Callithrix jacchus: one gene and its partners. The protein of the gene in region 3 purifies or fractionates together with the protein of the main gene of each other region. This does not show direct contact. Links are inferred from orthologs where the notes say so. Each region holds a gene or a part of one and is shown on either strand. Other genes may lie near its edges. The genes, in order: PSMD2, HERPUD1 and UBQLN2.

Region 1 (3,746 bases), on a different chromosome or scaffold from region 3:
ACCCAGACCATTAAGTATAGCTTCAGGGGATGCACTTCTCTGTGGGTCAAGAAATGCATTGTCTGGGAAATTCAATACACAGATACTCCAAGATAGACAGTACTCTGGATTCTAAATTATCCTAGAGACTCAGAGCCCCCTTCAGATTCCCAAGAAGAAAAGATCTTACCTGACATACTCATGACCCCATGATGCCAATTCCTCCTGGGAGCCCACTAGCCGATACTTGAGGCACTCACGTTCCCCACTCACGGTCATGGCCAAAACAGAGATGATGTCAGCAGCAAAACGCTATAAAGAAAACATTCCTTTGAAGTCAAACCCAGCAGTCCAGCATTAGGGGAGCATGCATCATGGAATCAAGATCATTGTCTCCCAAATTAGCTATGTAGATAGTACAAAAAATTTAACAGGCCATCTAAGCCAAACCTCACAAAAACCAAGGTTGGTGTTGCTATCTCCATTTTTTTTTTTTTTTTTTTTTTTTTTTAATTTTTTATTGGATTATAGGTTTTGGGGTACATGAGCAGAGCATGCAAGACAGTTGCGTAGGTACACACATGGCAGTGTGCTTTGCTTTTCTTCTCCCCTTCACCCACATTTGGCATTTCTCCCCAGGCTATCCCTCCCCACCTCCATTTTTTTTTTGAGACAGAGTTTCGCTCTTGTCACCCAGGCTGGAGTGCAATGGTGTGCTCTTGGCTCAATGGAACCGCTGCCTGACAGTTCAAGTGATTATCCTGCATCAGCCTCCTGTGTATAGCTGGGATTATAGTTGCCCGCCACCAAGTCTGGCTAATTTTTTTTTTTTTTTTTGTATACTTAGTAGCGACGGGATTTCACCATGTTGGCCAGGCTGGTCTTTAACTCCTGACCTCAGGTGATCTGCCCACCTCAGCCCCCCAAAGTGTTGGGGTTACAGGTGTGAGCCATCGTGCCCCGCCACTACCTCCCTTTTAAATTAACACAGCTGAAGGGTGATAAACAAGGGATAATGTGGAGAAAAATGAAAGCTCTTAATTTTAGTTTAATTACAATTATAAGCTATTAAAAGGTTTTACACAGAAAAGACCCACAACCAACAAAGATCAGGATAGGTGCTAGGTGAAAGACAGACTGTATAGGAGAAAAGGACAACAGCAAGAACGCCAGTTAAGAGGTGCTGCAACAGCCCATGCAAAAACCGAACATCTCCAGGATTAGGGTTGCACCAGCAGGCAGAGAAGTGACTGAATGTGGAGCATATTTTAGACATGAATGTACATGGGAGAGAAGGAAAGAGAAAAATCAAGGTTAAACATGAGTTAAAAATAACCCATGCTAATGAAACCCTAAAGTCCAACACAAATGACAGAAACAGTATCTTCTGAGAAGCTGATCCTCCTCTCAGCTCTTTTGTGGACATTTTGACTATGATGAACTCGCTCAAAGAGATCAGGCCTTAGGTCTATCAGGCTTCCTGTGACTCACAACGAGCCCCATGGTCTGAGTAAAAAGAATTCCTAAACGAGGCCTCCACCAGGTTTGAAACAGTTTTACCTTATTCTCCCCAGGGGCCATGTTCTCATAGATTTCCTTTAGTTTGCCATAGTGTGGGCGCAGAAATTTGAGAGGCTTGGGCACTGAAGTCATGGAAGTCGTAGAAGAACGAATCTGCCTTCGCAATTCCTCCAGCGCTGGTCGATACAGGGATGTGTCCTTCTCCTGATCAAAAGATGATAGGGCTCAGACAAAAAGGAGTCACACCCCTCCAAGTCATAACACAGAGATATTTAATTTAACAACTCCCCCAAGGAAATAGCTGTGTCTTATTCATTCACCTGTGATTCCTTAACTCCCTGCACCCTGCCTGGCACAGAAACAAATGACCCAAGTTAAAAGTTAGGAACTCTGCTTCTCCCACAAAGAAAGCTACAAAACTGTACAAATACCCTTTGCAATTCTCCTGCCTCCCAACATCATCATAACACTGATCCTAAAATACAGCCCACCGCACACAGGAGTTGCCTCAAAACGGAATAAAACAGGTGGGAAAGATCCAAACGTGCACGGAATCATGTTAACCTCGTGACTCACCCCCAGTCGTTCCACGAGCATCTCCAGTTCATCTTGAAGCTGTTTATCCTCCTCGGACTGGAGGATTGGGAGAAACAAGCTCAAGTAGAGAAGGAATCCCAAAGACGTCCTCCTCCCACTTACCCGGGCCAGGTGGACAAGGAAACAGAGTAGGAATGGGGAGCCTGGTGGGAAATCAGCCTGGGTTCTGAACCAGGCTCTACCTGAATGCCAGTCTAGGAAACCGAGGTGACAATGACCCGCCCGAGCCCACCTCACGCGGCGGTGGTGAGAGTTGGTGGGGACGGCAGAGGTGACAGCGCGGAATGGAGGAATGAGGAGCAGAGAGTCAGGGTGCCGGGAGTCCCGGGGGTCGCCCCAGCAGCCCTCTCCCTGGTGCGGTGGGGCCGTTGGGAGTCGGGGCTAAGGCCTGCGGAGCCGCCGTGACTCAGCCCCGCGGCCTCCTCCGCCGGCTCTCCGGGCCGCGCCTCACCAGCTCCTGCTCTTTGTCCTTGTCCCCGGCATCCCGCCGCTCCTTGCCGCTCGGCTTCTCGTCCGCGCCGCCGGGGGCCGCCGCCGGGGACTGCTGGGGCTGCACCGGCGCCTTGTCCCGACCTCCTTCTTCCATCTCCGCCGCTACTGCCGCCTCGCTGCGCGCGCACCAGTTCACACCTCCCTTTTTCCCAGACAGCCTCGCGCGCCTCCGCCACGGCGCCCCTCCTCCTCCAGAGCCAGCCTGCGACCGGAAACGCCGGGGCGAGCCCCGGCGCGCGGCGACCCACCCACCCCCGCGGCCTGAGAGCCCGGGCCTCGGACCCGGCCCCCGGAGGCCGGCGAAGACTGACACTCCCAGCGTCCCCCGCGCCGTAGGCGCCACCCGACCCCCTCCTCCCCGGAGTTTCCTGAAAGCCGCGGGACTTCGCCCTGTGGGGTTTGGGTGCGCTGGCTGCTGTAGAAGGGCGGTCTGCGATCCCAGACACCGAGATTTTTCGGTGGTAGGTTTTTCTCATAACGGTGTAAATAGAACCCACAGTGACACTCCAGTTGGCTGCGTGGCGCGACAGACACACTGGATTTCTTGAAATCCTGGACGCTTGATAGCCGCCTGTTTAACCTCTGTGTTAACTGTCTAGCCCACACCACTGTGGAATATTAACTTCATTTGGTGGTGGTGTTTTTGAGACGGAGTCTCGCAGTGTCACCCAGGCTGGAGTGCAGTGGCGCGATCTCAGCTCACTGCAACCTCCGCCTACCGGGTTCAAGCGATTCTCCTGCCTCAGCCTTCCGAGTAGCTGGGATTACAGGTGCCCACCACCACACCCCGCTGATTTTTGTATTTTTAGTAGAAACGGGGTTTCACTATGTTGGCTAGGCTGGTCTCAAACTCCTGACCTCAAGTGACCCGCCTGCTTTGGCCTCCCAAAGTGCTGGAATTACAGGCGTGAGCCATCGCGCCCGGCCTATTAACCTCATTTGATATTCCTTCCCAGTTGAATGAGAGTACTCTGCTATTCCCGTGGCTACCATTTTAAATCCTTTGGGGAGCCAAATGGAGTAGAAGTCGGTCAATAAAGTCCTGTGCTTCGCGCCAAATTCTGGAGCTAAAAGCAGAACAAGACAAGGTCTTCCTACTCTATATCTTCTCGTCTTTCCCTGTGAAGCCTTAGAAGGGGTGTGACTGATGCGCTTTA
Region 2 (3,746 bases), on a different chromosome or scaffold from region 3:
GTCAGTTTTGTTTTTCAAGATTTTTTTTTTTTTTTTTTTCCTACAGAGGAGGAGGGAATGCCTACAATAGAGAGGCCTTTGTGGTCCCACTTCAGGAATCAGAGAACCCTGCCCTCCTCGTCTCGGCCCCAATTAAAGGGTGCATGTGTATCTTACAAAGTGATGCCCTTTTGGCAGGGACTCCCAGTGTGAGCAGGGCTGTGGCTGACTTGTCAATCATCATATAGGTTATGTCCCAAACGTGCAAGTCAGAAGCCCACGGAAATTGGCAACAGCTGCCTGGATGCCTCCATCCTCCCAGCCCAAGGAAGATCAGGCCTCCCTCCTTCGTTGTCCTTCCTATGAGCACGTGACGTTCTCCTGGGTGGACTTGCACAACGGGTTGCCCAGCTGTTCTTTGAGGGTCAGGTGGAGAGTCTTCCCCTATAGGACGGGCTTCCCCGGGAGGTTTCCATGTGGGGCCACCTGAGGCAGGAAAAGGAGAAGTGGACACTGGCACCTGGGGTGAAAAAGGGCGGGGGTGCAGCTTTGTGAGGAAACAATTTGAGGAGACTGCTAAACTGGGGTCTGCTGGGATACACCGCTCCCACCCCCTGCCTCGGGCGCCCTCAGTCACCCGAGCTGGGGGCCCCTCAAGTCTCAGGCCAAGCCCTCGCGCGCTTAGCGCGGGCCGCAGCGCACCCAAACATGGCCGCCAAACCCAGGTTCCCGGGGCGCAGCCGAGCCTGAGGGTGACGCAGCGGCGGCGGGTTGCATCAGCCCGCGCCCACGTGCTTGGTCCGCCCTCTGCCTCCCGGATCCGGACGCCGATTGGGCCACGTTGGGACAGTGTCTCCGCCTCAGCCAATGGGCAGCAGCCACAGAGGGTTCTGTCCGCAGAGCCGAGCGCGGGGAGCCCATAAAAGGCTCCCGAGAGTGGGGCGCGTGCCCCAGGGACGCCAACAGTCGTTGCGGAGTTTGCGGGCGGGTGCGACACCGCCTCTTGGCACCTCGGAGCGCAGCTGAGCCCCGACACAGCCGCCGCCATGGAGTCCGAGCCCGATCCCGAGCCCGTCACGCTCCTGGTGAAGAGCCCCAACCAGCGCCACCGCGACTTGGAGCTGAGCGGCGATCGCAGCTGGAGCGTTGGCCACCTCAAGGCCCATCTGAGCCGCGTCTACCCTGAGCGTCCGGTGAGAGCCGCCCCGACTTCCCGCCCCGAGGCTGTGGCCCCCAGTGCCGCCGCGTCCGCCTGCCCTGCCCTGTGGCCTCCCCCTCCGCCGGCCTTCCCTAGACGGCTGCGTTCGCCGGGTCGGTCACGTGCCCCAGGGCTGTGGTCTCCCCTTCCCTGCCCCGCCGCCGCGGGCGCCCCTCTCTTGCCCAGGGACCGTCACTAATCAGCAGCCTGACCTTAGGCGAGTCGTTTCACCCTCCAAGCCTGCTTCCCCCCAGCGGTCAGGCAACTCGGTGGTTCCTAACTGGGCTTGCACCCAACGGCTAGGAGTAAGAAAACATCCGTGCTGCAAAATGAGGGTTGTGAACGCAACCTCCCCGCGGGAGAGAAGCGGGCAGGTGCCACCCGGAGCGGTGGCTTGAGAAACCTGGGGAGCACCCAGACCCTGTGGACGGAAGGGCCCACACCCAGAAGCAGGACGTGGCTCTTCTCCCTGTCTACCTTCCGCCGGGCCCCTCCCTGTCGCACTGGACCGCGCAGCCGTTGCCGAGTCCCGGGGAGGAGCCCCGTGCACTTTCTGGCCAAGTGCGACTGAGAAGGGAAGCAGGCAGTAGTCGCCTTCAGTCTGGTTTTAGGACGGCAGCCTCTCCATTATTAGCGAGACTTCTTTGCTTTGTTTTGGTTGACGCATCTGTCAACATCACCCTTAGCACCGCCTGCCCTGGCCGCCACGTGATGAGGCTGTAAGCTGGCCCTTCCTGTATTTACTTTCTGCTCCGATATTATGTAAGTGTCAGCAGTGTTCTTCACTGCCCACGAGCATAATTCTCTATCACACAGGAGAGGGCATCCAGGCAGGAAAAGATCGTGTAACCCGAGTTCCAACTTTTGGTTGGAACTCACCTGTGTCTGTTTTTGTTCCATGTGGTCAAGAAGGTAGAAGTGAGTTTTCCTTCTGAGTTGTTGTTTTGAAATTTGCATATTGATTTAGTACGCGTGTATTCCATGTCCTGTGGAATTCACCCTGGTACACTTTTCGGTTTCACCAGAGCTGCGTCCAGAAACTGGGTGGCTGTGTTGCCATGAGAATGTCTGTTGGGTACACAAATTGGTGAAGCAGGTGTTGCCTATGGTTGCATCATATGGTAAAAGGCAGGGTTTCGGAGAAGGGTTTTTCTTAAGGGCTTGCTTTGGTGACGGACGCCAGTCCCATCTCTTCAGTCTAAAGACCTAAGATTGTAAATAAATATCTCTCAGGTATACAAATTTGTGTCTAAAAATTATTATGGCTGAAACATATTTATCACTTGTTTTCTGTGGTAGAAAATGGTATACTGTGAGAAGCCCTACTTTGTAATAGTTGTGCTTAATTTTTTCTCAAATCAGCCATTTGAGTGAAGACTCAATGTCAAGTTAGGCCTTTAAAAAGGGTGGAAATAATTCAAAATCACTGGCAGCTGTGGTTTTCAAGCCTTTTCTAGTGGTTGAACTCTAATAAACACAGAGCCATACATATCTAATAGATACTGTTTTACAAATTCATATATAAGCATGTACCTTTAACATTCTCACCTGTCAGTGAGAAAAACGGTGAACCCAGCATTCAGTATATTTTGGTTTAGTTACAGTGTCAAAAAGTCCTGATGTATATGGATAAGTAGATGGACTTTTGGCTTTGTTTGTTTTAAACAGCTTGCTTTAATTATCTCAAGCTGTTGGCAGGAACACCTTTATTCCAGGTTTTGCATAATCAGTTATGCTGGCAAGAGTAGGTATACACGTTGCTGATCTCCAATGGACAGACAGATTATATGTTAATATTTGAGGCCATTATTTTTAAGTACAGTTTAGAGGGAGTTTCAAAGAGATTTTTAAAATGAGATTTGTATAAAAGAATGTGCAGTCCCTATGGCATTAAAATCGCTGATATGGAGGAGAAGAGGGTTTGGAATTGTGACACTGGCAGCAGATGACCTTGGAAAAGTAAATTTTTCAGACTTTCCTCCCTTAAAATAGGGATACTGAATCTCACAGGGTTGTTGTATATAATGTCACCCACACACCATTTCCTCTATAACTGCATTTGTATGCCAAGAAATCCTCTATAAAGGCTTAAGTTTAGAATAGCTTCATATTATTCTGGGGCACTGCTAGGTGATTTTGGTGAAGGCTGGCCTTGGGAGTACTCTGAGTTTTTCCTGAAACCAAACTCAGTTGCTGTAGGAGCCCTGTTCGCTGTTTGTTGTTGTTATGAAAATCAGTTTACATGGGAGTTAAGAAGTATGTTGCCCTACATAGGTTTGGACTGGAGATAATTTACCTGTTTTTTTTTTTTTTTTTTTTTTGATATAGGGTCTCTCTCTGTACAATTCCCCTGTCTCAGCCTCCCGAGTAGCTTGGATTACAGGTGCAAGCCACCATGCCCAGCTAATTTTTACATTTTTAGTAGAGGCAGGGTTTCACCATGTTGGCCACTCTGGTCTCGAACTCCTGACCTAAGGTGATCTGCCCACCTTGGCCTCCCAAAGTGCTTGGAGTATAGGCATGAGCCACTGTACCCAGCCGATAATTTGCCATTCTGTATTTATTTGCA
Region 3 (3,746 bases):
TTTTTAGATGTACAGTTCCAATTGTGCCTACTGTACTGTGTACAAATATAGCAAAAAAGATCAATGAATGGTATAAATCTTACAGCATTTTGCTAGCAAAAATACATGCCAAAGTCACAATAAGCAATATCGTACCACAAATTAGAGAGCTTCAAATAATTTGCTTCTGATTTTAATATCTTCATTCTACATTAAATTACTATCATAGGCTAATGTTTAAAAATGCAAATAAATTGGACATCTGTAGGACAACACTTGTTCACCCAACTGTGAAGGTTGATACCTGTTTCCAAAAATCACAATAAATGCAGAATAAAGAAAGTGTTTGCATGCAACACTTTTGAGTGAAACAGCATTGATTCCCACCATTCAAAACAGATAAGAAAGGAAACTAAAGGAAAGAAGGAAGGAAGGAAACAAAGAGGGAGGGAGGGGGACACAAGAGGAAGGGAAGGAAGGAAAAATAATCAAAGGAGAAAGGGAGTGAGGGAAGTAGGAGGGAGGGACTCCATCTTAAAATGCATCATATTAGACTTATAACTAGACAGATTTAAAAGAATCAAAATGAAAGTAAAGAACGATTTTGTGTGTGTGTGTTTAAAGATTTAAGAGCCATTATCAAAAATAAGATACATTTTTTTTCCAGGTACAGAAATGTAATTAAGATGGCTGGGAGCCCAGCAGCCTTTCAATGGCTGCATTGATGTCGCCTCCTGTTGCTATTAGGGCCTGCAAGTTTGCTTCACGGTTTAAGAACCCCATTGCGTTGAGCTGTTCCAGTTGTTGCTGAAATCTGACTTCTGGATTCGGCAGCTGTGGAGCACTGGCTCCAGCCAGAGCCTGCACCATTTGCTGAATGAACTGCTGGTTGGGTCCAGATTCTGATGTAGGACTCGTGGTTTCACTGGGTGCAGCGCTGGACACAGTAGGACCGGTGGGACCACCAGAGCCGGTGGAGCCAGGGGGGCCTGCAGGGCCAGTGGGTCCTATGGGCCCAATTGGGCCTATGGGGGTAAAAGGGACTATAGGGCCTATGGGGCCTATGGGGGTGACTGGGCCTACAGGGCCTATGGCGGTTCCCAGCACCCCCACCCCCACACCTGGAGTGAAGCTTGGAATGAGGCCAGGTGCTTCAGTGGCTAATGTCTGTAGCCCCTGCTGGATCTGCATTAAAGCCTGCATTGCTCTAGGGTTTGACATGGCAGATAGTGTATCTGGATTCTGCATCTGCTGCAGGAAGGCTGGGAGCTGTGGACGCATCTGCTCCTGCAGCTGAGGATTTGCAGTAAACAGCGGGCTATTCAGCATCATCTGTGCAGCCAAATCTGGATTCTGGCTCAGCGACTGCATCATGCTTCTCATGTAGGGCGCCGACAGCATATTCTGAATCAGCTGGGGGTTTTCAGTTATCTGTTGCAGCAGGCTCTGCATGCCTGGGGTACTAAAGATACTGGCGACATAATTAGCTGCAGCAACGGTGTTCCCAGTAGCATTGCTGGAACTATTGCCAGACCCACTACCAGTGCTCGTGGTCGTGCTGGTAGTTGCAGAACTCTGGGTAGCTGGCGGTGGTGCCCATGGATTGGGTAGTGGATCACGATTTTCTGTGCGGGAAGGCTGCGTACCTTCTCCAGAGGAGGAACTACTCCCCACAGAGGCAAACGGATTACCCCCAAACTGCTCTTGTGCAGCATTCAGCATCGGCTCTTGAATGTCAGTGTACATGCGCCGTAAAGCATTATAGCCACCTGGGATGCTTTCGAGATTGCTAAGAGCCAGGTCTTGATTTCTCATCATCTCTTGCATCATGGCTGGATTCCTGGCAATTTCGAGTGTCTGCCTCATTATATCTGGGTTGTTGAGCAGGTGACTGATTTCTGGGTTTCTCTGAATCAATTGCTGCATCTGTGGATTAGCCATAATGAGCTGCCTCATCAGATCGGGATTCGAAAGCATGCTCTGAACAAAGGGATTTTCCATGATTTGGATCATCATCTCAGGGCTGGCCATGAGTTGCTGCTGCATCTGGCTCTGGAGCTCAGAGAAGTTGGTCGAGCTCAAGCCCAGGCTGCTAAGGCCTGCCAGTCCTCCCAGGCTCCCCAACCCAAACGGGTTGCTATTTGTGGAAATAGGTGTGGAGTTACTCCTGGGAGTCGACGCCGAGGTAGTGTTAGTTCCCGCGGCATTGCTAGGCTGCGTGGTCTGGCCCTGAGGTCGGTTCTGACTCTTGATGACAAGGTGAACAGTCAGCCCATCATGGATGCCGTGCTGGATCAAGGTATCTTGATCTTTTAAGATTTTTCCGGCAAAAATCAGCACTAGCTGATCGGTTTGGGATTTGAAGCGTTTCGAAATCGCTTCCTTAAACTGCTGGACCGAGCTATTCTCGGGCACCGCGAACTCCTCTTTCTCTTTGGGAGTCTTCACAGTGACTTTGATGATTTTAGGCTCCGCCGGGGCAGCAGCCGAGCCTTGGGCCGCAGCAGGGCCGCGGGAGGGGCGTGGGGGGCCGCTGCTCTCGCCATTCTCAGCCATGGCGGCCGCGGTGACGCAGGCGGGCAGGAAAGGCGCGGGCCGGCGAAAGAGAGAGAGCGAGGGAAGGAGGAAGGAAGGAGGCGCCGCCGTAGCGGGCTGGGCCGGGTCGGGCGGGGAGCGCGGAGCACGGTACCTCTGTGATGAAGACTGTGGTTCCGTGGTCCTCCGGAGAAAGGACTGGGCGTAGGCCGCGGGCTGAGGTTCCGCGCTCCAGTCTCTAGGCCTCCTCCGCCGCCGCCTTGTGATCCGACCGCGCGCACTCCCAGCAACTCCGGCAGCCGCTCCGCCTGCTGCTCCCCGCCCCTTCCCCTCCCCCAGTTCCGCGCTCGCCTCCCCGCCCTCTCTGCTGACGCGGCGCCAGGCCTAGATTGATAGATTTGGCTCGGTCAAAATTAAAAACTTCTGCACTGAAAAGAAAAAAAAAAGGGAGAGAGAGAAACAAAGGGAGAGAGAGAACAGAACAGAACAGTACAGAGCAGGCGAGGCAGAGAGGGTGGGACGGAGAGAAGGCGGCGGTAGAGAGTCAGCTTCTGTAAACGACATTAAAAGACCGATGGAGAATAAACATTAGAAATCTGTAAGGCAGTAAAAGGGTGAAAGCCTGATTCGAACCGATCCCACGTAAAAGACGAAAAATGAATAATAAAGAACTCTGACAAAGCAAAAAGAAAGGAGGAACAACCCCCAATGGGGGAAGGGAAGAAGACAGCAGGAGCATGCATTTTACAAAAGGAGTGCAAATGGTCAATAGACATTAAAAAAGGACGATTAATCTCACTAGTAATCAAAAAAAAATTCAAGTTAAAACAATAAAATTCTACTTTTGGGTTATATTGGCAGGGGAAAAAAATAATGGTAAACCTTCCTGTTGACAGGGACCCCTAAAAAATGCACTCTCAGGCTAGCTGAAGTGTGAATTGTTACAATCACAGGGCAATTTGAAAATATATATCAGCATTTCGAATGTTTCCACCTTTATTTAGAAATGCCTAACCTAGACACTCACCTAAGAAAATAATCAGATAAGGATGCAAAAATATTTATGTATAGAATGTATATACGTTGTAGCATTTTAAAACGTTATTTAAATATTTAAAATATCGGTTTACATGAGATTAGTCGAGCACATTATGATATTATCACACAAGAAAATACACAGTGTCTTTAAAGGTAAATATGAAATAAACTATAGTTATAGGGAAATCACAGAG

What was found.
Region 1: the proteins of UBQLN2 (region 3) and PSMD2 purify together in Homo sapiens (affinity purification with mass spectrometry, with the first as the bait; 3 studies listed by BioGRID). This does not show direct contact. The link is inferred for Callithrix jacchus from reciprocal best matches to the Homo sapiens genes UBQLN2 and PSMD2.
Region 2: the proteins of UBQLN2 (region 3) and HERPUD1 purify together in Homo sapiens (affinity purification with mass spectrometry; 3 studies listed by BioGRID, with this or other methods). This does not show direct contact. The link is inferred for Callithrix jacchus from reciprocal best matches to the Homo sapiens genes UBQLN2 and HERPUD1.

What each region holds. Positions count from the first base shown.
Region 1 is NC_133516.1:13,275,246-13,278,991, reverse strand, and holds the start of PSMD2 (26S proteasome non-ATPase regulatory subunit 2), read right to left. Parts: upstream 2,697-3,746; 5' UTR 2,684-2,696; coding exon 2,549-2,683; intron 2,134-2,548; coding exon 2,077-2,133; intron 1,705-2,076; coding exon 1,540-1,704; intron 292-1,539; coding exon 170-291; intron 1-169. UniProt on the Homo sapiens protein: Component of the 26S proteasome, a multiprotein complex involved in the ATP-dependent degradation of ubiquitinated proteins.
Region 2 is NC_133521.1:14,807,264-14,811,009, forward strand, and holds the start of HERPUD1 (homocysteine-responsive endoplasmic reticulum-resident ubiquitin-like domain member 1 protein), read left to right. Parts: upstream 1-1,025; coding exon 1,026-1,172; intron 1,173-3,746. Other genes in the region: uncharacterized protein LOC118149719, read right to left, coding at 157-1,027. UniProt on the Homo sapiens protein: Component of the endoplasmic reticulum quality control (ERQC) system also called ER-associated degradation (ERAD) involved in ubiquitin-dependent degradation of misfolded endoplasmic reticulum proteins.
Region 3 is NC_133524.1:56,702,364-56,706,109, reverse strand, and holds the start of UBQLN2 (ubiquilin-2), read right to left. Parts: upstream 2,821-3,746; 5' UTR 2,536-2,820; coding exon 661-2,535; 3' UTR 1-660. UniProt on the Homo sapiens protein: Plays an important role in the regulation of different protein degradation mechanisms and pathways including ubiquitin-proteasome system (UPS), autophagy and the endoplasmic reticulum-associated protein degradation (ERAD) pathway.